Notamacropus eugenii: one gene and its partners. The protein of the gene in region 1 interacts with the protein of each later gene in a biochemical or structural test. Links are inferred from orthologs where the notes say so. Each region holds a gene or a part of one and is shown in the gene's direction. Other genes may lie near its edges.

Region 1 (7,966 bases):
AAGTTGGGGAGTGCGTAATGATTGCTTCCTACAAACAGAGGAATCAGGTGACTTACACAGTCACATAGTCAGCAAGTGTCCAAGGAGTGGAGCTGTTGTTCAGTCATTCTAGATTCCTCATGACCCCATTTGGGGTTTTCTGTTTTGCCTCCATGTTCTCATCTGTCAAATGAGCTGCAAACCGTTTGAGTATCTTTGCTAGGGAAAACCCCACGGACAGCTTTGGTGTGTTACGGTCCATGGGTCACGAAGAGTCGGACACGACGAAACAACAAAAATAACTTTTTATTGTTGAAGTTGTTGCTGTTAATAAGCGCTCTCATGGGAAGTTCTAGTGGCCCACGCTTCCCTCTCCCCTCCCCCAGGAGAGGTAGAGACATATGTACAATGTGCCTCTGTTTCCCCCTTGGAAGAAAAGGAGATCAGTGAAGGGAACGGAATGAACAAAATCATTATTTTCCCTCAGTAATAATCTGCTCACCTTCCAGCAGGTCTCCACTCATGGGTCTTGCTTATTCCCTCTGGGGATACCTATTCCCTCCAGCTCTGAAGAGGAAAGATGATTCCCTCCCCAGCATTTCCATTTAACTCAATCAACATTTCTGAGAAGCCTACTCTGCACAGGTCACTGGGCAACCTGCTAGAGTTAACACACTCTGTTCCCTCAGCTGATCACAGGGTTAGGGAGGTGGTCACCGGGAAGTCCAGACTTCCCCACTGAGTCAATCAATCAATCAATCACCCAGCCCCAACCAGTGTAACTAACCAGATGCTTTAGCCAGCATACCTTTACCAGCTGAGAGCACCTCTAATTATGGTACAGAATAAATCAATTAAAGGTATAAACTAGGCATGGGAGAAACCTTTAATCATTCAGAAATGCCAAGCACTGGAAGAAGTGAAATGAGATGAATAGTATTCAGGATATGTATTGGAATTGGCTGGAGAGCATCGGTCCTGCCCTGTGGGGCTCAGATACAAACAGCCTGCCAGCTGGAGCCTGGGCTTCCTTCCACTGGCTGGCCAGCCTTGTGCTGGGACAGTTCCAGTCAAGCTCCTGAGAGACTTCTCCCTCAGAAGGAGGGAAGCAGGGGAGGAAAGAGGGATGGAAGAAAGGAGTGAAAGAGGGAGATAGAAGAGGGAGGGAGGGAGACAGGGGAGAAGGAAGGAAGTCAGGGGAGGAGGGAGAGAGAAGAGAGGCTCTGTCTCTGCCCCACACTTGACCAGAGGACAGCCTCATGAGCCTTCCCGTGAGCACCAGTTGCAGGCCCCTGTAACACATGCCTCAGTAGCACAAAAAAAAAAGAAAGTCCTCAGCTCTGGACTCTGATATTCATCCATAACAGTCAGATGTCCTCTAAGGTTTGCAAAGCACTTTACAGATACTGGCACAACAATCCTGAGAGGGAGGTGCTATTATTATCCCCATTTTACAGATGAGGAAATCAGGGAGGTCTGATGTAAAGTGATTTGCTCAGGGTCACCCAGGATAGGGAGTATTTGAGGCCAGGTTTGAACTCAGGTCTAAATGACTCTGGGGCAGCTAGTTAGTGCAGTGAGTAGTATATTGGAGTCAGGAAGGCTCATCTTCCTGAGTTCAAATCTGGCCTCAGACACTTCCTAGTTGGGTGACCCTGGGCAAATCATTTCACCCTATTTGCCTCAGTTTCCTCATCTGTAAAATGACCTGAAGAAGGAAATAGAAAACACTCCAGTGTGTTTGCCAAGAAAACCCCAGATGGGGTCATGAAGAGCCAGACCTGACTAAAACATAGCTTAACAACTTACTGACTTCAGGTCAGGTGCTCTACCCATCATACCACCTAGCTGCCTTGGGGGTCCCCACCCTTACGAACTGCAAGAGTACTCCTCAAAGGGAGAAAAAGAATCCCGGAATGCAGGCCCTGAGTTGCTTGGCTACATGCTCCCTAAGCCCAGTATCCTATAGTTCTTGGGGGATAGTGTATCCCAGGCTCCGTGTGCATGTGCATGTTTGTGTGTGACTTAGTTGTACTCTGGTCCTCTCTATGCCTTAATATCCTTTTGTAAAAGCTAACCAATGTTAATTAAGGCTGAGGCAATGCCAGCCGGTTCAATGATATTGGGAATCACACCAGAGCAGTAAGGCTAGAACCCGGAGGACAGATGTCACTGCCCTCTTGGGGGACCCAGCTTGACTGTGAGAATGAGACAGGAAGATGAGGAAAGCAGCTTAGATTGAGGGTTCCAGATCATTTCACCGATGAAGGGCCTAGGCTCAGGGAGGTGAAGGGACAGGTCCTAGAGGTGAGGAGCATTAGAGGTGGAATATGAATCCGGGTCCTCTGACCTTCCTTTCATCCTGGACCATCCTGCCTCCCACAGCAAAGGAGAGCAGATCTGTTCCCTCCCTTGCCTCTCTGAACGCCTCCGAGAACGCATCAGCCTTCTTTGGCTGCCACAAGCCATTGCTGACTCATATGGAGCCTGCAGCTTCTTGAATGTTTTTTCATATCTAGTTCCATCTCGTTCATTCTGAGTTCATCGCAGTTGTGTTTTTGGAAGTGAGAGCACAGCATTGATCCAGTAATCACTAGTCTGAATAGTTTTTCAATTAGTCATGAATTCATCTAACTGTATACTTGTATGTGCTACATCTTGGCACCTGGAGTCTTACAAGTTTTCTTGCTGAAATCCATCCATTGTGTATTGACAGCCTTGCAGCCAGTAAACTAGCAAAGAAGGAATTTTATGTAGTCTGGAATCCTTTGTTCTGGCTCCTCTTTCCAGGGGTTCACACATTATGTTTGAGAATATATTCTGGAATTTTGATGGGCATCTATATCCAGTACTTCAGTCTCTATTTTCCAGAACTGTGTTCTTCTTTTCAATCAGTCATCAATCAAGCCACATTTATTAAGCACCTACCATGTGCCAGGCCCTGTGCTAAGGGCGGGTGATACAAAAAGAGGGAGGTTTTCAAGAACTATGATGCTGTTTCTGACTCTCTGAGCAGTGTCTGCTCAGTTTACTAACAGCAGCCTCAAAATCAGATATGCAAAATGGGTCCAACCAGATTAGATTTTGTGATGTACCGTTTGCACGCTCTGCTTGCAAAAACAGAGGCTGAACCAGGGTGGATGGTGTTGGCTTAGATCTGGCTGGCTGTGGTTTCGAAGCGTGTGGTACGTGTGACGGAGAGACAGACGAACTTGCAGCAGAAGCCGTGGAGTGGGGATTAAGGTGCCTGGCATTTCTCAGCATGTGTTGAGCAGCTCTGTGTGTGGAGGGTGCCTATAAGATGGGGGTGCCTCCGAAGGGTGTGTAGGAGGAATAGATGTGGGAAGAGTGGAGGTGCCTTTGGGGAGATGTGCCTGGAGGGGATAGCTGGGTAGCTGAATGTGTGTGGTAATTGCCGAGTGGGTGTGAGATCTGAGTGGGTTGTGATGGTATGTACAGGAAGAGGGGATCCTTGGAAGTATGTGTGGGGTCTGGGCATCTGAGGGCGTCTCTAGTAGGGTGGGTAGGGGCTTTGAGCCTGCACAGGAGCATACCTTTCTACATGTATATGAGCTCCAAGTGTTTTGCCCTATGAGAGGGTCCTCCATTTGGAGTTGGAAGGGACTCTGCCCTCCTTTCTTTTACAGATGAGTCTACAGAGGTGAAAAATACTACATTTAACTGGCTACACAAGTGGCAGAATTGTAATTTGATCCCAGGTCCTCTGACTCCAAAGCCAATGTTCTTTCCACTAACACTGCAGGCAAAGACACCTCTTTCAACCTCAGTTTTCTCATCTGAAAAACAGGGCTAATAACAGCACCTTCCTTCCAAGATTGTGGTAAGGATCAAATGAGATAAAACTTGCTAAGTGCGTTGCAAACCTTCCATGAAGCAGCTAGGCTATGCAGTGGATAGACTGCTGGTCCTGAGTTCAAACCCCGCCTCTGACACTCACTAGCAGCGGACACCAGACTAGTCACATAACCTCTGCCTGCCTCAGTTTCTTCAACTGTAAAAGGGGCCTAATTTCGGCACCTAGGTGGCAGGGTTGTTGTCAGGATCCCACGAGACCGCTGTAAAGTGCAGGGCCTACGTGCCAGGACGCAGCCTGCTTTGCAAGGGTAGGCACCGGAAGGACGGGGTGCCTGAGTGACCTGGGCACACCGCTGAGCTCCCCGCCTGAGGGGCGCGGGCTCCCAGGCTGCTTGCCTCTCCGATTCTCGGGGCGGGTGTCGGGGGGCTGAGCCTGCACCTCTGACTACGCTGCCAGGGCACTTTCGGGAAGGGGTTGAGGGGGTGCGCGTGGGATCTAGGAGGGCTCGAGGGCAGCGGGGTGAGCGCTGACCATCCAGCTCCCACCGTGCGAGTGCCGAGCCTGGTGCGGGGGCACCGGGAGGCTCGGGGCGTGGGCGTGGGACCCCCCCCCCCCCTCCCAGGGGAGGGCATGCTCGGGCATCTCGGGGCCTGCCAGGCCCGGGCGGAGGCGCGCGTGCCGGGGCACATCTGCCCCGCGTGCCCCGGGGCTGCTCCCCTGGGGCGGCTTCTGCATTCTCTGCACCCCCGCAGCGGAGCGCAGAGCCCAGCACACAGTGGGTCCTCCGGCAGGGGGGCGCCGCGCCGCACCACGCCACGGGGAGAGGCGCTGAGCTGGGATTCGGGCCGCAGGCCCGTGCGGCGCATGCGCGGCTTCCCGTGTCTGGGGCGGGGTGCAGGGCGGGTATGTGGCGGGCGTGCGCCGGGGCGCGCCTGCGGGGGGCGCTGGCGCGCGGTTGCGTGTGGGCGGGCGGCGGCGCCTCTCGGCGCATGCGTACTCCGGTTCGCTCGCTTTCCGTCGGCAGGGGGTGCGTGGGTGCGGCGGCCGCCTCCCCGGACGGAGGTCCTCTTTTCGGTCTCCTCCCTTTCGCTCCCCCTCGGACGCCCCCGCAGCTCCCCGCGGCCCCTCTCCTCGTCTCGGTCTACATCTTCTCCTTCCTCCTCCCCGCCTCCCCCGGCCTGCGGCGTGTGCGCCTGCGCGCACCCCTCCCCTCCGCTCCCTTTGCACGTGACCGCGAAGCCTCGGCCGCCCCTCCCCCTCCCGGCGGCCGGTCCTTCCGCATCGGCGCGCGCTCGCCGCAGGCCCCGCCCCTCGCCGCGCGCCCGCCCTCGGCCCCCAGGCAGTCGGGCAGTCGGGCCGTCAGTCGGTCGGGGCGGCAGCAGCGGGCGGCGGCCGGAGGCAGCAGGCGGCAGCGCTCGGGGGGCCGCGGCAGCTCCCGGCGGCTCGGCGGTGGGCGCCCCTCCTCGCGTGCTCGCCCTCTCTTCCTCCTCCTTCTCCCTCGGCGGGCGGCGGCGGCGGCGGCGGCCATCATGGCGGCGGCGGCGGGAGGCGGCGGCGCGGGGCCCGAGATGGTCCGCGGGCAGGTGTTCGACGTGGGCCCGCGCTACACCAACCTGTCCTACATCGGCGAGGGCGCCTACGGCATGGTGTGGTGAGTGCGGGGCGGCCGGCCGCGCCTGGTGCGTGCCCGGTTACCGGGTGGGGGGGCCAAGATGGCCGGGGCGGGCTGCGCTGCGGCTCCAGGGCCGGCCCGGCCTCTGCTCGGGGCTGGGGGGCCAGGCCCGGGCGGTAACAGTAACAGTAACAGTGGCGGTAACAGTAACAGTAACAGTAACAGCGACAGCCTCGCTACAGTATCCATTGTACAGATGCGCACACGGAGGCCGGCCGGGCGTGCTGAAGGTCACCCGGGGCCGGAGGGGCGCCCAGCTCTCCCAGGGGACTTTCCCCAATTCTGTGGAGCCCCCGGTGACCCCCAGCATTCCAGGCTATGGCGCTGACAGAAGCATAGCCCGTGCACATCGCCCCCAGGGCCCCAAAGGAGGACCTTGGCTCTTCCTGGCGATCCTGGCGGGCGCTTAGGGCAGGTACCACCACTTGTTAACAAATGACCAGATCTGAGACCCGGCGGAGTTGGCATGGGAGCTCCTGATCCTTTCTTCCTGGTTCTAAGGCACCCTTCCCAGGGTGCCATCTTGTTCCCTTTAGCATCAGAGGTAGAGTTGCCTTCCCTCTTTCTTCATATTTACATCCGGCAATATCCCAATTTTAATCAACGGGCTGTGATCCCAGATCTTACATTTTGGCCAGTCAGATGGGTTTCTTCATTTGAGGCCATCAGACTGCTTAAAAGCTCTATTGTGTGACCTAGTATTGGCCTCCTCTTGTCAAATCATAAGCTTCTTAAAAGTGGGAACAATTTCCCTTTTTTCCTCTTTACATCCCCACCAAATTATTTCGTTGCATACAGTAGGTGTCTAAAGTTTGTTGAACTGACTCTAGTGAACATGGTGTTTAGCTTTATTGTTTCGTGGCCTTTTATTGGTTTGAGACTTGAACAGTTGTGCATTGTGCTTTAAAAAAAACTGTTTAATGATTAATAGAATCACAGAAAGTATGGATGGGAAATTGTTCAGGTGTTCAGTTTCAGACTTTTTTCTGCCCCTGATGGTCTAACCCCTAGATGGTTCCTTTGGATTCACTTGAATTTTTGTTGTCAACCTAGACATGCTGGTTTGATGTCCTAATAAGATATGGAGACCATATGGCAGCATCTAGCAAAGAGTCAAGATAGAGGGCAAACTTTTTATTAAAGTGTATTTTTCAGTGATTCAAAAGGAAATTATTTTTGTTTTCTTACCCTGTTCATGTCTTTTACCCATGTATTGCCCAGTAATGTCTTTTTTTATCTGGAGTAGAATTCAGACTTTTAATAGTACTTTTCTGAGCATCATGGCTCTGTCTTGCCATATATTCCCCAAAGTGAGTGAGAGTCCAGCCAGGGTGGTCCTTTATTGCTTGATCTGAGAATGAACCAAGCAAGATGGATTCTCTTGTTCTCTCTCTCTCTCCCTCTCCCTCCCCCTCTCTCTCCTTCTCTCTCTCTCATTCTCTCTCCCTCCCCCCTTCTCCATCCATCCATCATCCCTCCTTCCCTCTCTTCTTTCCCTCCTCTTCACTCTGCCTCCACCTCCTCCCTCTCTCTTTTTCTCTCTCACCTTTGCTGTTTCTTTGCTTTCCAGCTAGTAGGCCTACTCCTGGTGGTTATTCTAGGTGCTACTCGATTTTTCAAGATTGCTTTTGTCTGCCCTCTCCCACAATGTCTTTTCTGTCCCTTCATGAAACTACATTAGCTCAATATACTGTGTTGTGACCTATGTTCTCTTTGCTTCTTTTTTTTAAAAAATTGTCCTCCATTGCTGTGGAGGCAGCACAAAGCTGACCCCACAGGAATGATTTTGTTTTGGGAACCAGTCAAACTTAGAACACTTAATGATATATGTGATTGCTACTGGACCTGTGTAATTAGGCAGAAGTTATAAGCAGTACTTAGAAGTGACTGAGATTGTTTTATTTTTGGAAGGGAAATATGGACTCTGATAGCGATACATCATTCAGCATGGTTTCTCTAGTTCTAGAATAGAAAATTCATACTTGTTATGTTGTGATACATCCAGTCCTTTATTCTTCATTGTCAACACTAAGCATATTGAGATTTGAAAGTATTCTTTAGGTTCTTCTTTGGAGTGGAAGGACTTGTCAGCTACTGGAATTTTAAAAAGTTTTATTTATGCTTTACTAGTAAAACTAGTTTTTCTCTTTGCTCTTGGAATTTTCTGGTATTTAGCACCACTGTTGGTAGTTTTCTGTAGTACCATATACAGTTTAATCTTGAACCCATATGTTGATAATAAAGAACCAGGATCCAGCTGCCCAGCCCCCAGGCTTCCTTGTGTTCCCATCTCCTTCTACCTGAAAGACGTGTTACCACTGGGCATATTGAGTTGCTCTCTGGTCCTCTGGCACCAGGTGTCCACAATGCTGATAGCCCCTAGTTAGTTGGAACCCAGTCAGGCACAAAGCTCTTTCCAGTATAATTGCTGTGCTGTGAAGTGAGAATGGGAACAGATCTCCAGGTGGTACAGGGTGGGGAAAGAACCTGGTGAACAT
Region 2 (8,181 bases), on another chromosome or scaffold:
GGGAAAATGTTTCCCAGAATCAGATGACTTTATGGGACGGTTAAACCCATGATAACAGAATAAGAAATATGTTGTTTAAATGGCTATTTGGGTTGGTTGTCAGGAAAAAGCTGGATTAAGGAAATTATGATATGATGCCCATATTTGTTCGTGTATTGGTTTTGTTTTGCTGTTGTATTCAGTGTTGTCCAATATTTTATCTGCCTGTGGAAATGTTTGCCATAACACTGATGCTGAGACATCTAGAAAGGAGATTGACAGAATGTATGAGAATATGGTTACAGAGAGACATTTCATTTCCTTCTATGACCATAAGGAGTTGTAAGAATTTTTTATTCCTTTCTCTCCAGTATTATTTAAGCCACTTTAATTAGAAGGAAAGTCATGTAGCTGGCTGAGATTTTCATAAGACTCCCAATTATTTTGATCTACATAAAAAAAAAATATGGGAATAAAAGAATTCATGCTACCCCAATCCCAGATTTTTCCCTCATTAGTGATTTTTTGATGAACTAGCTCTAATGTGATTGTCTTCTTCAGTTATCTTTGAAATACAAATCACGTCAGCATAATCTTTGTCATGTAAATCTTTTCTTTCTCTTATCAGTGATTCCTTTCTCTTTGTAGCCACTGTAATGCAAAATTGTATTCTTTTCTTTGTGTCTCTGATGAGATTAGAAACTGTGTAAACTTTAGGAAATCTAAACTTTTAAATCTACACTTTGTTCCTGATTGAGAGAGATTTTTGAGTTCTGGACCTATGCTGAAGCATATAAAATAAACCTTGATTTTATCTCCTAGTTCTCTGCTTGTTGAAAAGCAAGACTGGCAGCAGGTCAAGGAACCACTGGCTATTCCCATAAGAAAACAAAGTGGATGCTCATCCATTAGAGAATAACTACATTTATGGTGGTCCATGAATTGGCATGGAGTGTTACTCTGTTGTAAGAAATGATAAAAGTGATGAAAATAGAGAAGTGTGGAAAGATCTCCATGAACTGATGCCGAGGAAAGTGAGCTGCAACAATGTAAGTAGAAGGAGTCATAGAACAATCAAAAATGAAAATTCTCTGTAAAGAACAAGCACAGGTGGCATCCAACTAACTGACTAGTTTGTGCTGTATTTGCTGGTATGTTTCTTTCTTTTTCTGTGAGACACTGAATGTCTTTTTCAGTAATTCCCTTCCCCCAACCACTTTATGATTACAAAAGAGAATTCATTTGAATATTTCTAAGAACTCGTCTCCTTCTCCAATCTAATAAAGCTTGTAGGAGCTTAACAAATGTTCATTAAGTGACTGATAAAGAAGATACTGTTTGCTTTGGTCTGATGTAAATAGCTATCCTAATATGTTGGGGCAGCTAGGTGGTGCAGTGGCTAGAGCATCAGTGCAGGAGTCAGGAGGACCTGAGTTCAAATCTCACCTCAGACACTTGACACTCACTAGCTTTGTGACCTTGGGCAAGTCACTTAACCCCCATTTCCTCATCCTGGGTCATCTCCAGTCATCCTGATGAATATCTGGTCACTGGATTCAGATGACTCTGGAGGAGCAGTGAGGATGGTGACCTGCACAGCCCTCCCTCACTCAGAGCAAAGTCAAGTGGAAGTCATGTTATTTCTTTGATGGCATGGTCTTCTTTGGCAACCATGTACAAACACATGCTAATACATTAAGCATTCTTTTAATTTTGATAATGTTTAATGTAAAATTTTGGAATAATCTCTTTGTTCTCTCTGAAACAAACTCAGAGAATGCTTCTTCCTATGTCAGCAAAAGCCAGCCAAGGCTGACTCTACACTCCTTAGGAGACCTTTAACCTAAGACACTAGATCTTATTATCTATAGACATATACTATGTTTGTTATGGCATATTAGTGGTAAAGAAAATATAGACATCTTGGGTCATAATTTCTATGTGAAACTTTGTCAAACTCTGTTATCTTATTGTATTTACAGCCTATGCAATTAAGAAATTTCTTTCTAATGGTCTTGTTAGTCACTTATGGAGATCATAAATCTGAAGGACACAGAACACTTCTTTGTCCTAAAACATATTTAAGGCCGCCCAATTCTTTGTATTGGTAGCCAGAACATTTCTGGCTCCATAATGCATTATGGTGCCATTGTCTTTAATAGGGAATTGATTAATTAATTAATTAAATCATAAAATGTATGCATTTAGCCTGTTGCCTTCTTTTTTTAAACCAAGTTTTCAGGTCAACATTTTTCATACTAAAAGTGACTTCTGCCGACTGCCCTATCTGATCTAATCCAAAACTGCTTTGTATGCTCTCTGGGTATATATACACACATACAAATATGTTATAAACATAAGTAAAAAAAGAAAGATCTATATGTGTTATCTGTGGAATTGTGAATGGTACAGGGTAGAGATTTTTTTTTTGTTTTAGACTTTTTTCTACACTGATCAGATTTGCTGATTTTCCCTCTTTAGCAAACATTATTTTCTGTATGGGTTGGCTCTCTGGGAGTAGATAGTAGAAGAAATGTTGGTGGTATTAACCAGCCTCAAAGATGTCAGTATTTTTTAATGCCAGAATTGTTGTATGGGGTGGGTGTGTGTGTAGGCGGAGAGCAAGCAGTGCCGGAGTCTGGGTCCCCAAGGTCACCCTCAAGGTGGCTTCCTGGTCCTAAGGAGGTCCCAGTCTTACCAAATAGGTCAGTACAAAGTGTAGTCAATGGCAGGCAATCTGAGGGGGGAAGGCCTAGGGCAGGCCGCAAGGCAGAGAGGGAAGCCAAGATGCTTTTTTATGCCTGGCACAGAGTAAGCGCTTCCTGAATGCTTGCTGTCTTACTGACAGCCCGCGGGCCAGAGAATTTCAAGGGCGGGGCCAAAGCCGCGCAAAGTCTCGAAACCGGAAGGTCACGAGACGAGTCTCCCGGATCTCGGGGGCCAGCAGAAACAGCTGCTTCTTCAGGTCTTCTGCGCATGCTTCAGCCTGGCAGCTCCCACCCACCTGGGAGTGCAAGGCCACGCAACCAAACACGTGACCCAAGGGGCGGGGAGTACGCGGCAGGAAGTGACGCAGAACCGCCAGGAAGTGATGCATTCCCCTTGCGGCTCACCCCCGGAAGTCAGAAGCGGGTCTTTGCTGGCGCGGCTGGCTGAACTGGATTGAGTGGCGAGGGGCCTGGGCTAAGGGGGTGGGAGGATGCGGGTGGCCAGCATGGCGACGGCACCGCGGGGGGTCCAGGCAAAGGTCCTGCAGTATGAAACCTTCGTCAGCGACGTCCTGCAGCGAGACCTAAGGTAAATGCGAGGGGGCGTGGGGCCTGCGGGGGGCGGCAGCGGGCGGGGCCTAGACACCCCTTCTGCCCCCCACCCCAGACAGGTCCTGGCGCAGCGGGAGGAAGTGTACGGACAGCTGGCCGCTTACCTGCAGCTGAAGAACGTCCTGGAGCGGCTCCAGGTGAGCGGGGCGGGGCGCCCGGGAGCCCCTCCCTTGGGCCCTGGGACGGCCTGGCCCGCCCTCTAAGCACCCCCCCTCCCGCAGGAATCGGGGGATCAGAGGCTGCACACACAGGTGGATTTGGGGTGTAACTTCTTCGTGAATGCCGAAGTGTGAGTCCCCCCCTCATCAGTGGATCACCCTAGATCGACCCTGGAGCAGTGTGGAAGGAAGCCTATGGGCCCCTGCCCCCAGCATAGTTGTTAAGTGCATGAAATAGAATATATGGACTCCAAGGAGATCAGTTCCATTCCATTTCAGGTAGCCAGGGTTTTTTATTGTTTGTTTTTTTGAAGTTCACAGACTCTGGCTTAAAAACCCCTTACTCCATAAGGAACACCCCACCTCCTAATCCCAGAACTCAGAGACCATCCCAAATGCAGAGAAGCCCCAGAGGGGCCACGAGGTTCATAGAGAGCCCCTTGAGAAATGCCTCTGTCTTCCAGGCCAGACCCTTCCCGGATATTTGTGGCCCTCGGCCACGGCTTCTTCCTGGAGCTGACATTGATGGAGGCCTTGAGGTTCATTGATCGGAAAAGCCGCCTGCTCACCTCGTAGGTTTTCCAGGGTTTGAGGGGAACAGGAGTGAGGGGGAAAGGGAAAGGGTCTCTGACGAGCTCTGGCCATCTTTATTTTTTTTTAACGGCTTATTTATTTTTAGTTTTCAACATTCATTTCCACAAAATTTTAAGTTCCAAATTTTCTCCCCATCTCTCCCCTCCCCCACCCCAAAACACCGTGCATTCTGATTACCCCTTCCCCAAATCTGCCCTCCCTTCTATTACACCCCTCTCTTCCCTTATCTCCATCTTCTCTCTTTTCTTGTAGGGCAAGATAGATTTCTGTACCCCATTACCTGTATTTATTTGCCAGTTACATGCAAAAATGGATTGTCAATATTTGTTCTTAAAACTTTGAGTTCCAGCTTCTCTCCCTTCCTCCCTCTCCACCCATCCCCACTGAGAAGGCAAGCAATTCAGTATAGGGTATATGACTTCCATAATAGTCATATTGTGTAAGACTATGTTTCCCTCCATCCTATCCTGCCCCCCATTTCTTCTATTCTCTCTTGACTTTGTCCCTTCCGGAAAGTGTTTACTTCTAATTATTCCCTCTTCCCATTTGCCCTCCCTTCTATCATTCCCCGCCCCCCTTATCTCCTTCTCCCCTACTGTCGTGTAAGATAGATTTTCATACCAAATTGAGCGAGCATGCTATTCCCTCCTTAAGTCTAGCTATCTTTTTCCAGGCTAAGTGACAACCTCACCCGAGATTCAGCTCGGATCAAAGCCCACATCCGATTGGTGCTGGAGGTAAGAAGGGCAGGAGGGTGGAAGGTGTGTCAGTGGAAAGCTTATTTTAGAACCTAACTTCCGATCCTATGTACTCTCTTCCCTCGAAGGGCCTTCGGGAGCTGCAGGGGCTACAAGAGCTGCCAGATCATCCAGGACACTGATTAGGATGCTGAGAATTTCCTTTCCCTAAGAAGACTGCTACTGAGGCTCCAACTCTTGTTACTTGAAATCAGAAATCCCTTTAATAAAAGCTGGGAATGAGGCTGGGGAGGGGAGAATGTTTGTTGCCATGGAGATGGGGCAGCCTTCCTCCCTACCATTATCTTCTCTGCAGTCGCAGAGCCACGGTCTCTGTTCTCTTCCTGTTTGTTCTTATGGTTGTGTTCGAGCTGGCCCCTTTCCTCCGCCTCCTTCCCCCCCCCCCCCCTCCCACCTCGGTGGGCGCAGACTGAAGAAATTCATCTAGCTGCGCTGGGCCTTTTTCTGCGCAGGCGCACAATCTGTCTCCTTAGTGGCTTTAGATTTGCCACTCTAGTTGGTCCCGCCCTTTGGTGGCGGCTTGGTTGCTCTGACTCACGGGTCCCGCCCCTTCGGCCTTCCCTTACCACGTGATCGATAACGTCAGCCAGACCCCGGTTCTTCTATCCCGGTGGTGCTCTGGGCCGGCTCCGGGCTGCTCTGGGCCGGGGCAGGCTTCGGTCGGTCGTAGGGGGAGGGAGGGAGGTGGTGTAAACCAGGCCGGTCCTGGATAAGAGGCTACAGAGTGGACAGGGGCCGGGATCGGTGTCAGCAGAAGAAGGAGGAGCTAGGGGCGGGAGGGTGGCTGCTACCGGGCTGGGACTCCCCCATGGAGCCCCCGCTCCCCGGAGCTGCCATCAGGTTGCTCACAGGTGAGGCAGGGATAGCCTGGGAATCGGGAGGGCATCTGCTGCAGGAGAAGGGCGAGCTTTCTGTGTATTTTGGGGGGGATTTGTACGGGGTGGGAGACAGGGTTGGGCTGGAGGCCCCCAGCGCCTCTAATAGCCGAGAACGGACCTATTTGTGGCCTTCCGTGCGACTCATCGGCAGCAATGGCCTTAGCTGTGGCTTTCCTTCCCTAGAGTTACGGACCAACCAACCCCTCTGTCCCTATTCTGTAGTCCCTCTGCATGACTCCTGTCCCCGTAGCCCCTGTATGCTAATAGGCCGCCCCAGACATCCTGTCCTTCATGTTGCCCTTTCTTCAGTAATGGTGCCATCCGCCCCGCCCCCTCTCAGTGATGGACCAGGTTATATGGTCCTGTGTTGCTGTAGCTTTCACATTCAATGACTATCCTCCAAATCCTCATTCTGCTGTTATGGCTCTAACTTTGGGGGCCAAGCTGTCCACCCACAGTAATAAGACATACTCATGCCTGTACCTTCATTGGACTGCTCAAGTTAATGACTCCATGTGTGGCGCCTGCAATAAGGAGTCAAACCCCGATTCTGTGTCCATTCTCCATATCCCCTCCCTACCAGCGCAGGCCTAGTGTCATCCCCGTGTCCATGCTGTAGGACATAGTTTCACTCCCATGTTCATGCTCTGGCTTCCCCCATGTCTTCATGCTCCTCTTTCTCCTTTTGGAGTCATGGGATAGCTAGTGACCCACAGCTTCCCCTACACTTTGCCTTGTGATGGAGTCATCCAAAGCCCTCTTTCTGTCTTCCCACCTTCATACTAACCAGCTGGCTGGCTCATGATCCTGTGTCTGGAGTGATGGACCCATCTGTGACCCTGTGGCAGTTTCTGCTGCAACTGTTGAAGGAGCAGAGTAATGGACACCTTATAGCCTGGACATCTAGTGACGGGGAATTCAAGCTGGTAGATGCTGAGGAGGTGGCACGGCTGTGGGGGCTTCGAAAGAATAAGACCAACATGAACTACGACAAATTGAGCAGGGCACTTCGCTACTACTATGACAAGGTGTGCTTCCCCCAGCCTGGCCTGGCTCAGCGGGTCCCCGCCTTACCCTGGGGAGGCCCACTCGCTGGGAGAGGGGTTTTGGGGGGGCATGGGAGGAGGGGTTGGGCCTACCCCTGAACACCCCTGCCCCCCAAATTCCCACTTTTCCCAGAATATCATCCGTAAGGTGAGTGGGCAGAAGTTCGTCTACAAATTCGTGTCCTTCCCGGAGGGGCCAGGCCACGGTGGGGAGGAGGGCCAGGTCCGGGCTGAGATTGCTCCAGAGACCCTCCGGCCGCTGAAGGCCTCTCTAGGGAGCATTGGGTCCTCTGCCCCTACCCCTGTGCGCAGCAGCCGGAATGAGTATATGCGTTCTGGGCTCTACTCCACGTTCACCATCCAGTCCCTGCAGCAGCTGAGCCCAGCGCGGCCAACTCGGCCAGCCCCAGAGCCACTTAGCCCAGCCAGCCTTGAGGCCTCAGAAGCCCGAATGCCGCTCCAGGTTTGCTTATGTGTGCTTGTGCGTGGGTGTCTGGATTCCTTGGGGGAAGGGTGTGTGGGGGGGGAGAAATGAGAATGACTGGGCCAGTCCTCAGCCTCCTCTCCTTCCCCGCCCCCAGGTCATCCTAATGGCTCCCGCCGAAGGCCTGGCGGAGGCTGGGGAGGCAGAGGCTTCGACCGCAGCTTCCTCTCTGCTGCTTCCGTCCGAGACGAAGGGAGAGCGGCCTCTAGAGGAGGGAGCTGCTGTTGCCATGGAGACTAGCGTGGAGGTCGTTGAGTCGCCGGGGCCCGCCCCGGCCCCAGCAGTCGAAGTCCAGGCTCACCCCCCAGGCCCCTCCAAGGGTCGCAAACCCCGCGATTTGGAGTTGCCGCTGGGGCCGAGCCCCGAGCCGGCCGCGGTTTCCGGCCTGGGTCCGGCCCTCACGCCCTCCCTGCTTACCTCCCACGCCCTGGTAAGCCCGAGAAGCCTCCGGGAGGGGGGGCTTGGGGACGGGGCGGGGCGGGGGCGGATCTGGGGGCGGGGCTTAAGCGGGCTTGCTCCACTGTCCCTTGCCCTCCTCCCGTCCACCACAGACCCCGGTGCTTCTGACGCCCAGTGCGCTGCCCCCCAGCATCCACTTCTGGAGCACCCTGAGCCCCATCGCGCCCCGCAGCCCTGCCCGCCTCTCCTTCCAGGTGCGGCCCCTGGAGGGGCGTGTCAATCCTTGTCTTCTTGACTTATCCCCACCCAGGTCCATGTGTGTATGTCACTCCCGGCTTCCTCTGGTGGGCTCTGGTGTGTCTATCTGTCTGTCTGTGTGCGTCTGTCGTCTGTCTCTCCTCATCTCCAGGCTCTCCCAGTCTTTATTCATTCCCATTCTCATTCACCTCTCTCATTCTCTTACACTCACTCTTTCTTTCACTCTCTCTCCTGTCTCTCTCTGTCTTTCTCTGTCTCTGTCTTTCTTTCCTCCCAGTTTCCGGCCAGCAGCAGCAGCAGCTCCCAG
Region 3 (7,076 bases), on another chromosome or scaffold:
AAATTTATTATCTTCCTGGAAAATAGGATTCTTGAAGATGTTTACTACAGATAGAAGGAAGCGAATGAGAAGAAATGTAGGCACTATTGAGATTAGAGGATATGGAAGCATAAAATCATTGACTGATGAACTGAGAAAAGATATTGAAAGAAAAAGCATTTGAAGAGGCCACAGAAAAAGAACTCTGATACCAGTGCCTTCAACATAACTGGCTGCTACTTGGGCCTTTCCCCCTCACAGACTGTTCATGTTTATTTTCTATCATTCCTCTGCTCTGCCGTAATTTTCCTCATTTTTAGAAAACCTGATATTAAAAAAAAATTAATTTATAAAAGAGCCATCATGAGATGATTATTCATGTTATGGAAGCATTCTCTTTCTGAAAGAATTCATGGAAGAGTTCCTTTAAATAGAAAGTTCCCCTCATGCATTTAAGTAAATCATTAACTACTTGGCAGGGAGGCTGAGTGAGTCAGGAGAGCAAGAGAATTTTAAAGCCAAAATATTAGGAGTCACTGCCAAATGAAGATTAATCAGAAATGAAGATAAAGCACCTCAAAACTTTAATGTATGTCAATGAGAAAATGATTGATTTGCAAAAATTAAATGCACATGAAAGTTTTCAGGAACATAGCTACTGGTAAAGTAAGATACACTTATGTTATTTCCTCTGCTGAACTACAAGAGTTTGTGAAATTTTCTTGTCCTGATCACAGCTGGCTTTGTCTTATATAAAGTGTTGGAGAGGGTAAAGAGGTACTATTTTAATGATTCATTCCAGACTTGTTTATGATGAATTTACTCTGCATTTTGTAGATTAATATTTTTACAGTGAATACTTTTAAGCTCCTATAGATAAGGACTGTGGATGTGATGATGTTTTTTAAACAGTTCATTTTAATGATATGCTTTGATGTTTCCTATGAAATTTGGGAAGTTACCATCATTTTAATTTTTAATGTTCAAGCATTAATAATCTGGCATCCTTCTTGTCTTTAGTGTATTGAAAATTAGTTTTAAAAGAGGATTGAGTTGGCTCATGTACATGTATGCATGCCAGAAATCTGTTAAAAGGTCCAGCGCCATTACAACCTCATTTTTAATGCCAGATACCATTACTGAAGTGCACATTCTTTACCTTTGAAATATAATCTGAATATCTGTGCATCAATTTACTTTGTATATTTATATATATACTTTGGGAGGGCATATCACATTAAATATTAATAATTTAATCTGCTTTAAAACAGAATAATAGAATTGTAGCTATGGTTGAGAACTTAGAAATTGGTCTTACTCCTCACCCTCCCTTATTTTACAGATAAATATTCTGGGTTTGATTTGTTTAAAATCAATTACGTTGGTTAAACCAGAGCTAAGACCCAAATCTCCTGACTCCCAGTCTAGGTTTGTTTTTTTTCCCCCATGCCATTAAAAGTTGTTTAAAATGTGAACAGGAAGAAGAAAAAACTGATTAGAGAATACTGAAATAAATTTGCTCTTATAGAAAGTGCTGTTAATGAAAGATTCTTAAGTTTCACTAGGGGGGCAAAAATACTTTTCAGGCCAATGCCAATGACTAACTTATTTCATTAAATAATCCATTGGACAAATAGTCTTGATTAACTAATATTACTGAACACCCTTGAAATCCATATATTGTATAGAGAATTTGGGATTGATTATTAAGAAGTCCAGGTACATGTGCTTTTCATGATCTTTAGGAGCACACCTGTAATTTAATAGTAGGGCTATAAAGCACATTTCAGGGAAGCTCACATGAAAAGCTGGCCCTGTGGTCTTCCACGTGAGTTTGATAAAATCAATATTCTTTACAAAGCCATCTATAAGGTGACAGATGTTCCCCTTTTTATTGGAATTATAAGTGATGTCTGTAATGTGATAGTCACAATATAATGCTCATTTTGGTATTATTTCTACATATAATTTTTTATAACTTTTTCAAGTGATTCAACTATTGTTTGAAAAGGCTTTAATTAATAACTGAACTTTGCTGAACTGATAAGTTATATTTGAAGTCCCCAATGTTCACTTCTGAATTTGCCATTAGAGAAATGTATTGTGGATCTTTATTTAAGTATAACTAGAAAAAATACTGTTATACATACCAAGAGGAAATACAGTGAGATGATTATTGTTTTCTAAGCATGAATCAAATTATTGTGGGCAATATTTCATAATCTCAATTTCCTTTCCATAATTTTGAAAGAAAACTTAGAATGCTATGCTTTTTTTGTCCTTAAATTAGCAGATATTACACATCTTCACCTTTTAACCTTCCAGGAGAAGGCAATCTTCTCGAAGTATGGAGTCTCATTTTTCTTTTTGTATGACCAGGGCCTGGTGACTTGCAAATTGTATATACTTCATGACTGCTAAACTGTGAAAAGCGCAGATTTGGAGTTAGAAGATCTATATTTGAATCTAGCTCTTCTCTGTGTGAAATCAGGCAAGTTTTTAAAATCTCTTTGGGTCTCAGTTCTTCATCTGCAAAAGGAAGAATTTGGATTGGGCGATCACTTAAAGATTCTTTCAATTCTAAATCCCATGAAAGTGCAAATCAAAAATGAAATTTGTGGGTGATTCTTTGGTGGGATTACTAATAAATGCAAACACAATTATGTTTGAGCAATGTACAGGCATAATTTTTCAGAATTTAAAAAAGTGATTTTCTTCATTTTGTAAATACCCATCAAAGCTGAAGGTGCAGCCATTTACAGCCATCACAGAATTCGGGCTGTACGGGACTTTAAAGGTGATCTCATCTAAGTCCTTTCATTTTTATAGATGAAGAAATTGAGGGCCAGGGACGGGAAATAACTTTCACAAGGTTACACAGACAACAAATAACAAGTAACTCGAGATTCTCGGACTCCAGAACCCCAAGCCTGACTCCTTATTTGAGCTCTATTAATGAGAAAAAAAGTGATGGATGAGTGTAGCCTAGGAAGGTCATTTCCACCTGCAACCTCGGCAGTGGTAAGGTAAGCTTCACATTCTGGTCCTGAAGGGAAGAACGAGTCCCTTCCTTCCTATATGGCGATCGGGGGTGACCAGGAGGGAACCTTCTCTAACAACCAGGTGAAAGTGGAGGCTGTTGGGGCGAAATCCCTTTCAACTTGGGTCCCACGTGACTAACATTTACTTGGAAATAGAGTCCAAATTCTCAGGCAGCTTTCATTCTAGTCGGAAGCGAACCGAAGCGATCGATTACTCTGGCTGTCCGCTCTCAAAACCACCTCTCAGCCTGCGTCTTTTTTTTCTTTAGGTGTGTAGGCACTTAAAAAAGGCAAACAAAAATACCCACTCCACCACCTGAGCTCCGCCTCTGACTGATGTGGCAGCAGCGGACAGAGCCCCTTCAGGTAGGCGAGAGGGACTGCGCATGCGCCCCAGGACTGAGGGTGGCGCCGGGGGAGGGGAGCAGCAAGAGGAGGAGGAGGGTGTCGCGTTTCTCTCCCAGGTCTTCAGGCGCCCGAGGAGTCACTTGAGAAGAGGGCAGCACCTACTAACTGCCAAGCCCTGCCCCGTGGCTGGGCATGGGAGCCACACTTCACAGCCTCACCTATTCCTCCTCCCCCCCGGAGGACCTCGGCGCGCTGCACTACCGAATTCCAACGCTCGCGTACTGTACTCCCTTCCGGCCAATCACGGCCCGCCGCACTGCTTCTAACCTGAGAGAACTCTCCACTTCCTTCCTCTTCCCGCCTTCTTCCCGCCCCTTCACGGTCCTCGACCAATCATAGGATGTAAGCCGTCTCTTGTTCTCCGCCTCCACCCCATTCTCCTCCTCTTCCTTTAATCCCACTCCAACTCTTTTGCCGCCCCACCCTCTTAGTCTAGCCAGCCGGGACCGGCAGTTGGTCCTGCGGCAGGAAGGGGAGGGGACGTTTTTGTAGGGAGGGGAAGGGGACGTGGGAGGGGAAATGTAGGAGGGAAGGCGCGAGAAAGGGGCGGAGGGAAGTGTTGTCAGTAAGATCTCGCGAGATCGGACGGAAGCCTGTGGGAGCCCGTGGCCTTTAAAGTGCGGTTCAGCCCTTTCCTCCGGGGGTAGTTTGTAAACAGCTGTGGGTGCCGGAGCTCGTGGTCACGGCCCCCGTATTCGGGGGTGGCGCGCGAGCCAGGGGAGCGGGGAAGGTGAGTGATGGTGGGGATCGGGGTGTCGGACGGGAGCAGGCGGGGAGCACCGAGGGAAGAAGGCGCTAACATGGCGACGTCGCTCGCTACAGTCCCCACCCCCCACCATCCACTCCTTCTCGGCCCGGGTCCCTGTTCCCTCGGTCTGTGATGGCAGTTCCGCCCCCGCTGCGGCCTGGGTGGCGCCTGCCCCGCGGCCTTTCGAGGACCGGACCGTTAGGTGGGTGGCTGGCCGGGTTCCGGCTCCTCCCGGCTCGCGCGCTTTCCTCTGCCCAGAATAACGGCATCTGCTCTCCCCCGCTCCGGGCTCTCCCGGCTTTGGGGGAGGCTCCTGGGGGGCTGTGCCCTCCGCTGTGAAGGTGGGCGTGACCCCCCCCTTCCACGTTCCCTTCCTCTCCGGCCTGGAGCAGGAGCAGTCCTCTCCTGCCCCCCTAGATCCGGCTGGTGCGTTGGGGCGCTGGAGGCGGCGGCGGCGGCATGGAACAGGAGGGGCACCTGGGCCCGCTCACCTCCCTGACCTGGGTGGTGGGCATCCTCACTGCGAACCGCACCACCGCTAGTAGTCATGGCTTCTGGGAGGGCCGGCCTGCTCTTTTTTCTTTTCCCTCCCCTCCGTAGGTGAATGCAGGTGTGTTCCCATCGGTGACCTCCGCTGGTGTACAGCCAAGTCTTTGTCAGGGGATGATCTGGGATTTTTTCCTTAGCTTTTCTTTATCCTTCACACCCCAGGGCACCTGTGGGGGCTACCTTATTAATGACTGTGGTCTTTTCCTGGGAGGGGACTAGGGAAAGGGCGGAGGTGGGAGCCCCTTTTGTGCGTGCCTACTTGTGTGCTCTTGAGGTCTGGTGTAAAATCCTCCTCTGAAGGGGATGTGGGAGCCAACAGCACAGCTACTCTGTAAATACAATGGAGTCACAGGGATTACCCATATCTTATGGAAGCCAAGCCTTTTATTGTAGTTGAAGGAACATAGGCTCCAAAATTTGTTAACTTTCATGTAGGGGAGATAATTAAATGAACGCGTCCAAGGAGTATTTCAAAAGCTATCCATGTTCAGCCTTGGAACATTTTGTTTCTTATATTAGAGCATATTTGTTAAACAATTGTTACTAACGGGAGTTTTAGGCGAGTTCTCATTAGGAAAAAAACACCCAATCATTCTCATCTGTTTTATTAAAACTGTAAAAATGGGTGCTTGTTAGTAAAAGTTTATTTTAGAGGTCTAGATATTTATGGAATCAGGGATTAAGGACTATGTAATTCAGGTCGTTGGATTAGATTATCAAGTTATATTGGCCACATTGAACCCAAGAACCCATTATGAACACCAATACATAACTTTGAGCATTCTTAAGAAGTATGTAAAATGAGCCATTTTTTTTTATTTAAAAATTGAGTCACAGAAGTTCTTACTGATCTGCTGGTGCTTCTCCCCTGCCTTCCCAATTATTTTTGATCCTGTGTGTGTTATTTTCCCCAATAGAATGTAAGCTCCTTGAGGACTGTTGTGTTTTTTGTCTTTTTATCACCAACACTTGACATGTAGTAGGACTTAATAAATGTTTATTGATTATTTCATCCTAGAAAACTAAAAGTGAATTATTTAAGAGTTTTAAAGTATTGACCTAAACTACTGACTGATGAATTGTAAAGTATAAGCATTTCCCAAGTTTTATATTGTTAACCATTCTAGTTTTAAAAATGTAATCTTATATTATTTGGATATTACTGTCTTCTTTATATTTCTAGTACCTAGCATAATGACTGACCCATAGTAGATACTCAAAAAATGTTTTATGAGGGAAGGATACACAGTGATATTTCTTTTAAGAAAAAGCATCCTATTGCTACTATTTATACACTACTTTGAAGAGACAGGAAGTACAAGATAATGTTCTCAAAATACTTCCTAGACAGTTGCATAGAATCTGATTTGGAAGGGTCCTTAGAACCTGTCTACTGTGTCCAATACTGGAACAAAAATCCTCTCTCCACCATCTTCAGCAAGTGACCATCCGTTCTTTTTGTCTGATGACTTCTTGGTAACATTCTCTCAGGTAGCCCATTTCCTTCTTGGAGCGCTCTCATTAGGAAAGTTTTTTTCTTATATGAAGCCTAAATCTACCCTCTAACTTCCAGCCCTTGCTTCTAGTTTTGTTCTAGCCATAAAAGAACAAGGCCAATCCGTTTTCCACATGACAGCTTTTCAGATACTTGAAGATGGTAGTCGTGTATCTCCCTAGGTCGTCTCCAAGTTAAATCTTCCCACTTCCTTCAACTGAATCACATGTGGCATGATCTTGAAACCCTTCACAATCCTAGTTAGTCCTCTAGATGTTCTTGAGCTTATAAACATTCTTTTATAAAATGCAGCACCCAAAATTAAACACAGTACTCCAGATGTGGTCTTACCAAGGCACAGTATAGTTGAACTATAACCATTATGATGCTTCAGTAAACACAGGTTAGTATCATATCACCTTTTCTGTCACCCATATCACTCTCTTCACTCAAACTGAACTTGCAGCTGCAAGGTCTCTTTCAGATGACATGTTTCCGTTTCAGATAACTATGTTTTCCTCATCTTGAACTTGCAAAGTTTATTTTTTGAATCCAAATGAGGTTTTTACATTTACCTCATATATCTGCACTGCCTGCCATCTAAGCAATGAAAGAAATAGTGCAGATATCAGATAGAAGTCTGTTTTCTTTATCAAAGTCACTTATGTAGGGGAAAAACCTTTTGAAGGTAGTAATATTATATTCTCTTTAAGCCTCACATACTTATGCAGATCTAATGATTTTTTTATTCATTATTTAATTGATCATCTTGGAGGAAGATCATAATTACCCAAAAAGTTGTTAGTGTTTTCCAGAGAAATAATCTTTCAAAATAGCATTATTTTAAATAGTATTT
Region 4 (7,544 bases), on another chromosome or scaffold:
CAAGCAGAATAATTTCAGGAAAACCTGGAAAGATTTACATGAACTGATGAAAAGTGAAGTGAGCAGAACCAGGAGAACATCGTATATATAACAGCAATATTATACAATGAAGAAATGTGAATGATTTAGCTATTCTCAGCAATACCACTATCTAAGACAATCCTAAAGGACTAATTGTTAAAGCAGGCTATGTGTCTCCAGAGAAAGAACTGATATTGTCTGAATATAGACTGAAGCATCCTATCTTTTTCTTTCTTTCTTTCTTTCTTTCTTTCTTTCTTTCTTTCTTTCTTTCTTTCTTTCTTTCTTTCTTTCTTTCTTTCTTTCTTTCTTTCTTTCTTCCTTCCTTCCTTCCTTCCTTCCTTCCTTCCTTCCTTCCTTTCTCTTCCTTCCTTCCTTCCTTTCTTTCTCTTTCTTTCATTCTTTTTTAAAATTCTAATCCTCTTATACAAAATGACTAATATGGAAATGTGTTACTTGATTACACATGTGTAATCTATATCTGATTGCTTACCAACTCAAGGAGAAGGGAGGGAAGGAGGAGAAGGAGGGATAGAATTTGGAACTCAAAACTTAAACCCCACATGTTAAAAAATTGTTTTAACACATAATTGGGGAAAAAATAGAACATTATACATATATGTGTATGTATGTGTATGTATACATACACACAGATGCACAGACATGTGTGTGTATATATATATATATATATATATATACGTATATACATATAAGAAAACCCCAGACAGAGTCCTGAAGAGTCAAATAAATATGACAGAAACTACTGGACAATCACTAAACTATAAGAAGTGGGGAAAAGCGTCCACTGCCTAATGGGAAGTTGGAGTCATGATGTTGGGGACTGCAACACGTGATACCCCTAAGGATAAGGCAGCTACTTCTTTCCAAAGGAGATCTTTATGCCAATCAGAGCACCTATCTATCCTTTGTAATCTTTGACCTGCTCCCAGCTAGCAAATTAACCCATTTTCTCCATCCTCCAGCAAGAAGTTTGTCCCTATGAAACAAGTTTCCTCATCATGCCTCTGAAATTCCAGTGGTTCCTCAGATCAAGTTAGTATCCTGGAAGACTTATCTGATAAAGATGGGCTGTTTTTAGACATAGCCCTGGTCCGTTCTTTCAGGCTTTTCCTTGTTCCTTCCCTTTTGGGGAATCACCTGGGTCTCAAGGTCTGCTTCCTCAAGGGGCTCCATACACGTTGGAGAAACAACTCAGGTTTCCCTAAGTTGACGGTTTTCTTTTCCCTTAGGATAGTTCAGATAACTCTTTCCCAAAAAGGATTTGGAGAATCATGGGTAGAATTGTTGGGAAGTGCCTTCCTTTCTAATGATATGGGGGAAGGTGAAACTGTCTCTGTATAAATATGACAATTATAAATTTACCTGGAAGAAAGAATCTTTTAGTTGACAATGGTAATTTTGAGTTCTTGAATGAAGGCTAAGGAAAACCCTTACTCTCAGAACTCATAGAAGAGGGTGGACTCTTAACAGAGGTCTCTAAAGAGACAAATATTTGGTATCATCCTCATGATGTGCTTTCCAGGGAGGACTAAACCCTGGTGGGCACAGACCCCGGCAATATGACAGGTTATATTCAAGAGGGTAATGACCTTTCTACCTTTTTGTTGTTCAGTCATGTCTGACTCTTCATGACCCTGTGGATCATAACACACCATTCTGATGTCATATCTTTTAGCATTTTAATTTAATTGTCTATGGAGTTTTTCTAGGCAAAGATATTGGAATGGTTTGCCATTTCCTTCTCCCGTGAATCACCTTTTATCAGAACTCTCCACTTTGACCTGTCTGTCCTGAGTAACCCTTCATGGCATATATCATAGTTTCATTGAGCTATGTAAGCCCTTCTGCCATGACAAGGCAGTGATCCCAGAGAAGTTTCTCTTACTTACCTTAATTCAAATGACCTTGATCTGTATTGAAGTTTGATGATAACAGAAAGTGTCATGTGAGCAGTGGCTCTGTTGTTTCTGATGCTTTTCAATGCCTGCTTTTCATCATTAATAGCCCCACTGTGAATGCAAAGATGTGGCATCGCCCTCTACGTGGCCCAGATTGGCAAGATTCAGTTCTTTCCAAAATGGGGAGGGAAAGCTGAGGGTTTTCAGTCTTCCCTCTCTTCCATATTCTGTTACTCCTTCAAAGAGCTGTGAAATTATTGCTGTATTTTTCTGATTAGTTTTTCTCTTCATCCTCCAATGCTGCTTATATCAAGCTTCTTTCATCCCTGAGACTAGGTTTGTCGAATAATGACCCTAAAGCTCTGTAAATGGTAGAAAGTCCCTTAAAGCAGGGTTGTCAAACTGCAGCCCCCAACACTCCCCAGTTTGGCCAGCACCAGACTGAAAGGTAATTGGGAAGTATTTAACAAAATGAATAAAAAATGCAATAAAACAAAGATAATATCTAATATGTACTTTTCTAAGTCAATACACAGCCCATAGGGATCTTTATGTTGAGTTTAATGGCAGCCATTTCTATTTGAGTTTGACAAGACTGTTTTAAAGGACTTTGCTGGCATGGTGTAGGGTGTGATAGCAGCAATATGGGCCAGGGTCCCCTCACATGAGGTTTTTAGCCTCTGGTCCTTATTACAGCATTGGCCTGGTTGTTTAATTCAGCACACAACATATGATATCTTTAATCAGTGCTAACACACCCCACAAACAACTGTGCTGTAGGAGGCATCAGAAAAATTCTTTCAGTGTTTTTGAACCCAAAAAGACCAGGTTAGTTTTTCCCTAAAAGGCAAGAAAATTGTCACTGAGACTTGATTGGCCCAGGGGAGTAAGGGGCAAGTCTTTGACTTAGTATTCTGATCATTAAAGGTATAAAAGAGGCCAGTCTGTGAGGAATCCATACACATCAGACTTGGTGGATGTCCCTAACTCTGTCCAAGTTACCACACCCAATGGGCTGACTAGTTGATGAGGGAATGACTTCTATCTGAGCCAAGGATTATGATATTGTCGAGTATCATTTCCATACTATAGTTAATTCAACCTCCTTTTTGATAATGGTGTGAACTTGAACTATCAGATGGACCTGAGACATATCCTACCCCTAGGGGCATCAAGTAAAAGAAACCTCTGGTCCTTAAATCCAATCTTGATGCCACAGTTCCCTTCAAGAACAAGGACAAAGCAAGCAACAGTAACAGGAAGAAGTCACTTCATCAGAAGGAACCAGGGATGGCATGCTTAGATCTACTGGAGACAGCACTATGCTGGAGCCAGATCAAACTGGCTGTAGAATTGATGGTTAAATTTCAGTATGAGCACTTACACCTTGGACATCAGTAAATGCTTACAAATCAGGGCTTTATTTATTGTTCTGTTGATTATTTAGACTTAAGAAAGTGATGAAGAAAATATTAATTTAAATTAATTATAATTAAAATAAATTATAATTATTGTATATAATTAAAATTATAATGTGTTATATATAATTAAAATAAATTAATTAAAAATTAATTTAAATATTAATGCAGATTAAATTTTAAGACATCTAACACCTACAAAGTCCTCTCCCACTCCCTCAGGCAATAGTTAAACATTTACCAGCATGTCTCTGAGAGGATGGGCTCTTGTTCAGTAGATGTAGGTATGGTGGCCATCATGATTATTTCCATTACACTTACAAGAAATGTGAAGCAGCCTTGGACTTGGAGTCAGAAGGCCAAGTTGGAGTCCAGCAATATACTAACTGTGTGACCATAAGCAAGGCACTTTTCCTCTCTGAGAATAATTTTCTTTGTTTCTAGGGTTAGGGTTAGGTCTGTCCATTGAGCATAATACACACACTGTCTACTTCAAGGCATTGCTGTGAAGGAAGTGCTTTGTAAACTTTAGAGCCCCATAGAATTAATTTTTCACTGTCACTGCATCATCATTGGAACTATTATTATTTTTATTGGCAAATGATGCAGCTGGGTTGCACAGTTGCTGGTTCTGGAAGCAGGAAAACTTGAATTTGAATTCAGCCTCAGACCCTTACCAGCTGTGTGACCCTGGGCAAGTCACTTAACGTCTCCGTGCCTTAGTTTCTTCCACTGTATAATGGGGATAATAATAGTTGTGAGGATCAAATGAGAGAATATTTGTTTAAAAAAAAACCCAACTCCTGGCACATAGTAGGTGTTTAATAAATATTTATTCTTATTACTATTAACTAGATGAGAAAACTGATGCTCAGAGTATTCAAGGTCCTACATGGGATTAGTAGCAGAATGGGAAGAGAGCCCAGAATCTCTTGTCTCCCCATCATGTGCTATTTCCCCTTCCTTCCCAAAAGGGGAGGGACAGGGAGGATTTTCAATGCCCTGGGATTTTTGAAGGGATTAAGTGATTTGTGGGGTTGAGGTGCTGGTGTTTGGATGGTTCGTGTCCTATGGTGGAATGGAAGAGGGGAAGAATTTCTCTGCCTTTTTGTATGGAAGTCATCAGAGATCTGGGAACCCCCCGAAGTTTCATCCAGGACTCTTGAATCCTTGGCTGGGCTAGGGTTAAAAGTCTTAAAATTTTTTTTTTTTAATTTTTTACCTCCCCCGCTTCACCCCGCCTCCTCCTCGGGCTCTTCCTGTCCTAGCAGCGGTTACGACACCCTGCTCGTTCCCTCCCTCTTCTCCCCTAGCTTTCTCGGCTCCCGCTGCCTGCTCAAGGTCCGACCCTGGCTCAAGCCGGGACTCAAGTTTTGGTGGCAGCTGCCGCTCCGGTTCGGTCTTCAGGGTTGTCGGCATTTTGAGCTTAGATCTCCATCCTCAAGAGCCTGGCTCGGGTCTCTGACCTCGGAATCCTGTGCTCCGCTCACGACTGGCTCGCTGCTCCCGCAGCGGCCGCCCCGAGCCCTGATGGGGGAGTGAAAAGCTACAGCCAGGCCGGACATGGGCCACCCCACCCTGCCTGGCTTGGTGCCACTGGTGAGAGATGGACAGGGAACGGGACATGGTCGGGGGGTGGACTCGGGGATGGCTTTCATACAGCCCACCAGGGCACCAGGCAAAGTTTGGGGGATCAGACCCCTGGTCTTCCCACTTCCCTTGCCCAACCTCTCCCTATCAATGAAAAGTACCGAAGTATAGGTCCTCAGGCAGGTCACCACATTTGTCCCCTGGAGACAGAGACTGAAAGGTTTGGGGATTTAGGGAGAGGGAGACTGGTCATATGGGGGAAGAAGGAGAGTGTCTTCAAGAAAAGACAGGTCCCAAGACACTGAAGGACCCTACAGGCATCAGGAGAGGGCAGAGGACAGGTTTTCACTAGGGGCTGAGGGAGCTTGCCTGTTGAGGAAGACAAAGGTATAGTGGTGGTGAGAGGGCCAGCTCTGAGGAGTCAAAGTATTTTGAACTTTGTTCTGCCTGGCGAGAACCCTGTGAGAGGGAATGAAGAGAGATCTGTGGAGAAAGGAAAAGACAATGTTAGGGATGAAGGGTGGTATGGTACGGGGCAAGGGGAACAGAGCCGTGGGGCAGGGCCTGAAGAGTGGTGGTCATTTTGGGGTGTTAACAGGGGATTTTTTTTGAGACAGGGAGCTGTGTTGTGGGGCTGATTAAAGTATTCCTGTGGCTTGTCTCAGGCTGGTTTTGTCCATTCTTTTACTTGGGGGTCACCTCCCACACTTCACAGGACTCTAAACTTTTACACCTAGCCTGAGAGGGTTCTTGGATTGTACAGTCATCTCCCTGAAATGACAAGGCAGAGTGTACCACTCTACATCCCACCCCTTCCAACCCCCAAATGGCTGTAGTTCAGTTTCTTATCCTACAGCCCAATTTGAGGAAGTTGGAAAGTTGTCTTCGTCATTAGAAATGTCCCTTTCTCTCCCGTCAGCCCTACCGGCTCTAGGCCTCTCTCCACATCTCCCGTTTCTTCTCTCACTACCTAGGCCTCTCTAAAAGTCTTCATTACCATATTGGACTCACTAATTTCATGGGCTTTTGGCTGTTTCTATGGCCTTCCTATCTTCCTGAACTTTTTGTTCTCTTTTCTGCTTTTCAGCCTCTCTCCACTTTTCCTTTCTTTTCTTTCCTTAGCCTCTTGATCACTTCTGCTCCTCCATTTTCCTCTTCTATCCCAGTTTGTCTTCTGTCCTCTTCCCCTGATTCCTGCTTCTTGTCTTTTGCCCATATCCTTTGTTATTTTCACCATCACTTCTCTTTTCATTTAACCCTACATTCCCTTTCCTCTCTTCTTCTCTGTCATTTGACTTCTTCGTCCTTCCCTCTCCTTTCTAAGCTTACTGAGGGCTGAGCACTAGAACCAGGAAACACTAGTCAAATGTAGGGGATTGGTAGGTTGGGCGCACAAAAGGTGGTTGGAGTCCTGGCTCTCCTATTAGAAATCACCTGTGTGATTTAGGGCCAGTCACTTGACCTCTGTAGGCCTTGGTCTCTTTACCTATAAAATGAGAGTTGAACCGATTAATCTTTAAGGTCCTTTCCAGCTCTAAATTCTATGATCCTAATATGATATGTTGTAGGGGCAAAAGAGAGAAATCAGTAAGAAGGAGTTAGCCATCAGAAGCTTTGTGGAGATGTTTTGAGTTGGGAGACATTGATTGGGAGAGAAGGGTGAAGTTAAGGAAAATGACGTAAGCCATATAGAAGGAAGAGAACAGGCATTCATAAGGAGGGCAGTGAGTAGATCACCTTTTCTGTGGTGGAGTTTGAGAACTGTGGTGAAATTAAAAAATGGAAAGGGAGAGATTGGGGAGGAAGTGAGGGCCTTAAATACAAATCTAGACAAAGATCACAACTGATATGACCTTAGGAAACCATAAAGTTCTTGGGCAGCCAATGATCAGATTATATGATTCAAGTGTTTGAGGTAGAGATACAGATTCAAATCACAAACAGTAGATATCTGGGAGATTTTTATTCATTTTCATTCACTTAGTCAACAAGTGATTGACTTCCTGACTGATACCTGAGAATGAATGACTACAGCTGTACATGGGATAAAGGGAGCTGGGAAGGAAGACAAGAGGTGGTTGCTAAAGTTTAGGTGTGAGTCAACGAGGACTTGGACTACATACAGGGTAATGAAGAGGAAGGGGGTGAATCTATGAGTAGAGAGGAAGAATTTCCAGGATGGATTGATTGGATTGGATTGGATCAATAAAATTGAACCACAGGAATCATGAAAATGATGCTTAGTGATGATGTCTAGGTAGGCAAAGAAAGTGATGAGTTTGGTTTTTGATAAGATTATTGCAGATTATGGTAGATATCTGGGAAACATCCAAGTGTAGGCATCCTCAAAGCATTGAGGGGTATGAAACTAGAAATATGATGAGAAGTTGGGGCTGAAGATATATTATCCCTTTTCTTTCTTTTTTTTTGGAGGTAGTTGGGGTTAAGTGACTCACTCAGGGTCACATAGCTATTAGATATCTGAGGTCAGACTTGAACTCAGGTCCTCCCAACTTCAGGGCTGGTGCTCTAATCCATTCTGCCACCTACCTGCCCCTCCCTTTGATTTATTTAAGCATTTATTGAATTCGCTGCG

The links.
Region 2: of the proteins of MAPK1 (region 1) and ELK1, one has a biochemical effect on the other in vitro, tested with the Homo sapiens proteins (16 studies listed by BioGRID and IntAct, with this or other methods). The link is inferred for Notamacropus eugenii from reciprocal best matches to the Homo sapiens genes MAPK1 and ELK1.
Region 3: of the proteins of MAPK1 (region 1) and ATF2, one has a biochemical effect on the other in vitro, tested with the Homo sapiens proteins (3 studies listed by BioGRID). The link is inferred for Notamacropus eugenii from reciprocal best matches to the Homo sapiens genes MAPK1 and ATF2.
Region 4: the proteins of MAPK1 (region 1) and TNFRSF1A form a complex in vitro, tested with the Homo sapiens proteins (2 studies listed by BioGRID, with this or other methods). The link is inferred for Notamacropus eugenii from reciprocal best matches to the Homo sapiens genes MAPK1 and TNFRSF1A.

Annotation. Positions count from the first base shown.
Region 1 is NC_092875.1:8,406,830-8,414,795, reverse strand, and holds the start of MAPK1 (mitogen-activated protein kinase 1), read left to right. Parts: upstream 1-4,765; 5' UTR 4,766-4,785; coding exon 4,786-5,447; intron 5,448-7,966. UniProt on the Homo sapiens protein: Serine/threonine kinase which acts as an essential component of the MAP kinase signal transduction pathway. MAPK1/ERK2 and MAPK3/ERK1 are the 2 MAPKs which play an important role in the MAPK/ERK cascade.
Region 2 is NC_092879.1:101,805,231-101,813,411, reverse strand, and holds the start of ELK1 (ETS domain-containing protein Elk-1), read left to right. Parts: upstream 1-5,159; 5' UTR 5,160-5,660; exon of another isoform or gene 5,661-6,477; 5' UTR 6,478-6,508; coding exon 6,509-6,715; intron 6,716-6,866; coding exon 6,867-7,196; intron 7,197-7,314; coding exon 7,315-7,647; intron 7,648-7,768; coding exon 7,769-7,870; intron 7,871-8,151; coding exon of another isoform or gene 8,152-8,181. Other genes in the region: protein UXT, read left to right, coding at 3,179-3,276, 3,355-3,436, 3,521-3,588, 3,922-4,029, 4,725-4,788, 4,878-4,931. UniProt on the Homo sapiens protein: Transcription factor that binds to purine-rich DNA sequences. Forms a ternary complex with SRF and the ETS and SRF motifs of the serum response element (SRE) on the promoter region of immediate early genes such as FOS and IER2.
Region 3 is NC_092876.1:237,515,203-237,522,278, reverse strand, and holds the start of ATF2 (cyclic AMP-dependent transcription factor ATF-2), read left to right. Parts: upstream 1-3,996; 5' UTR 3,997-4,158; intron 4,159-7,076. UniProt on the Homo sapiens protein: Transcriptional activator which regulates the transcription of various genes, including those involved in anti-apoptosis, cell growth, and DNA damage response.
Region 4 is NC_092874.1:194,579,891-194,587,434, reverse strand, and holds the start of TNFRSF1A (tumor necrosis factor receptor superfamily member 1A), read left to right. Parts: upstream 1-4,389; 5' UTR 4,390-4,921; coding exon 4,922-4,957; intron 4,958-7,544.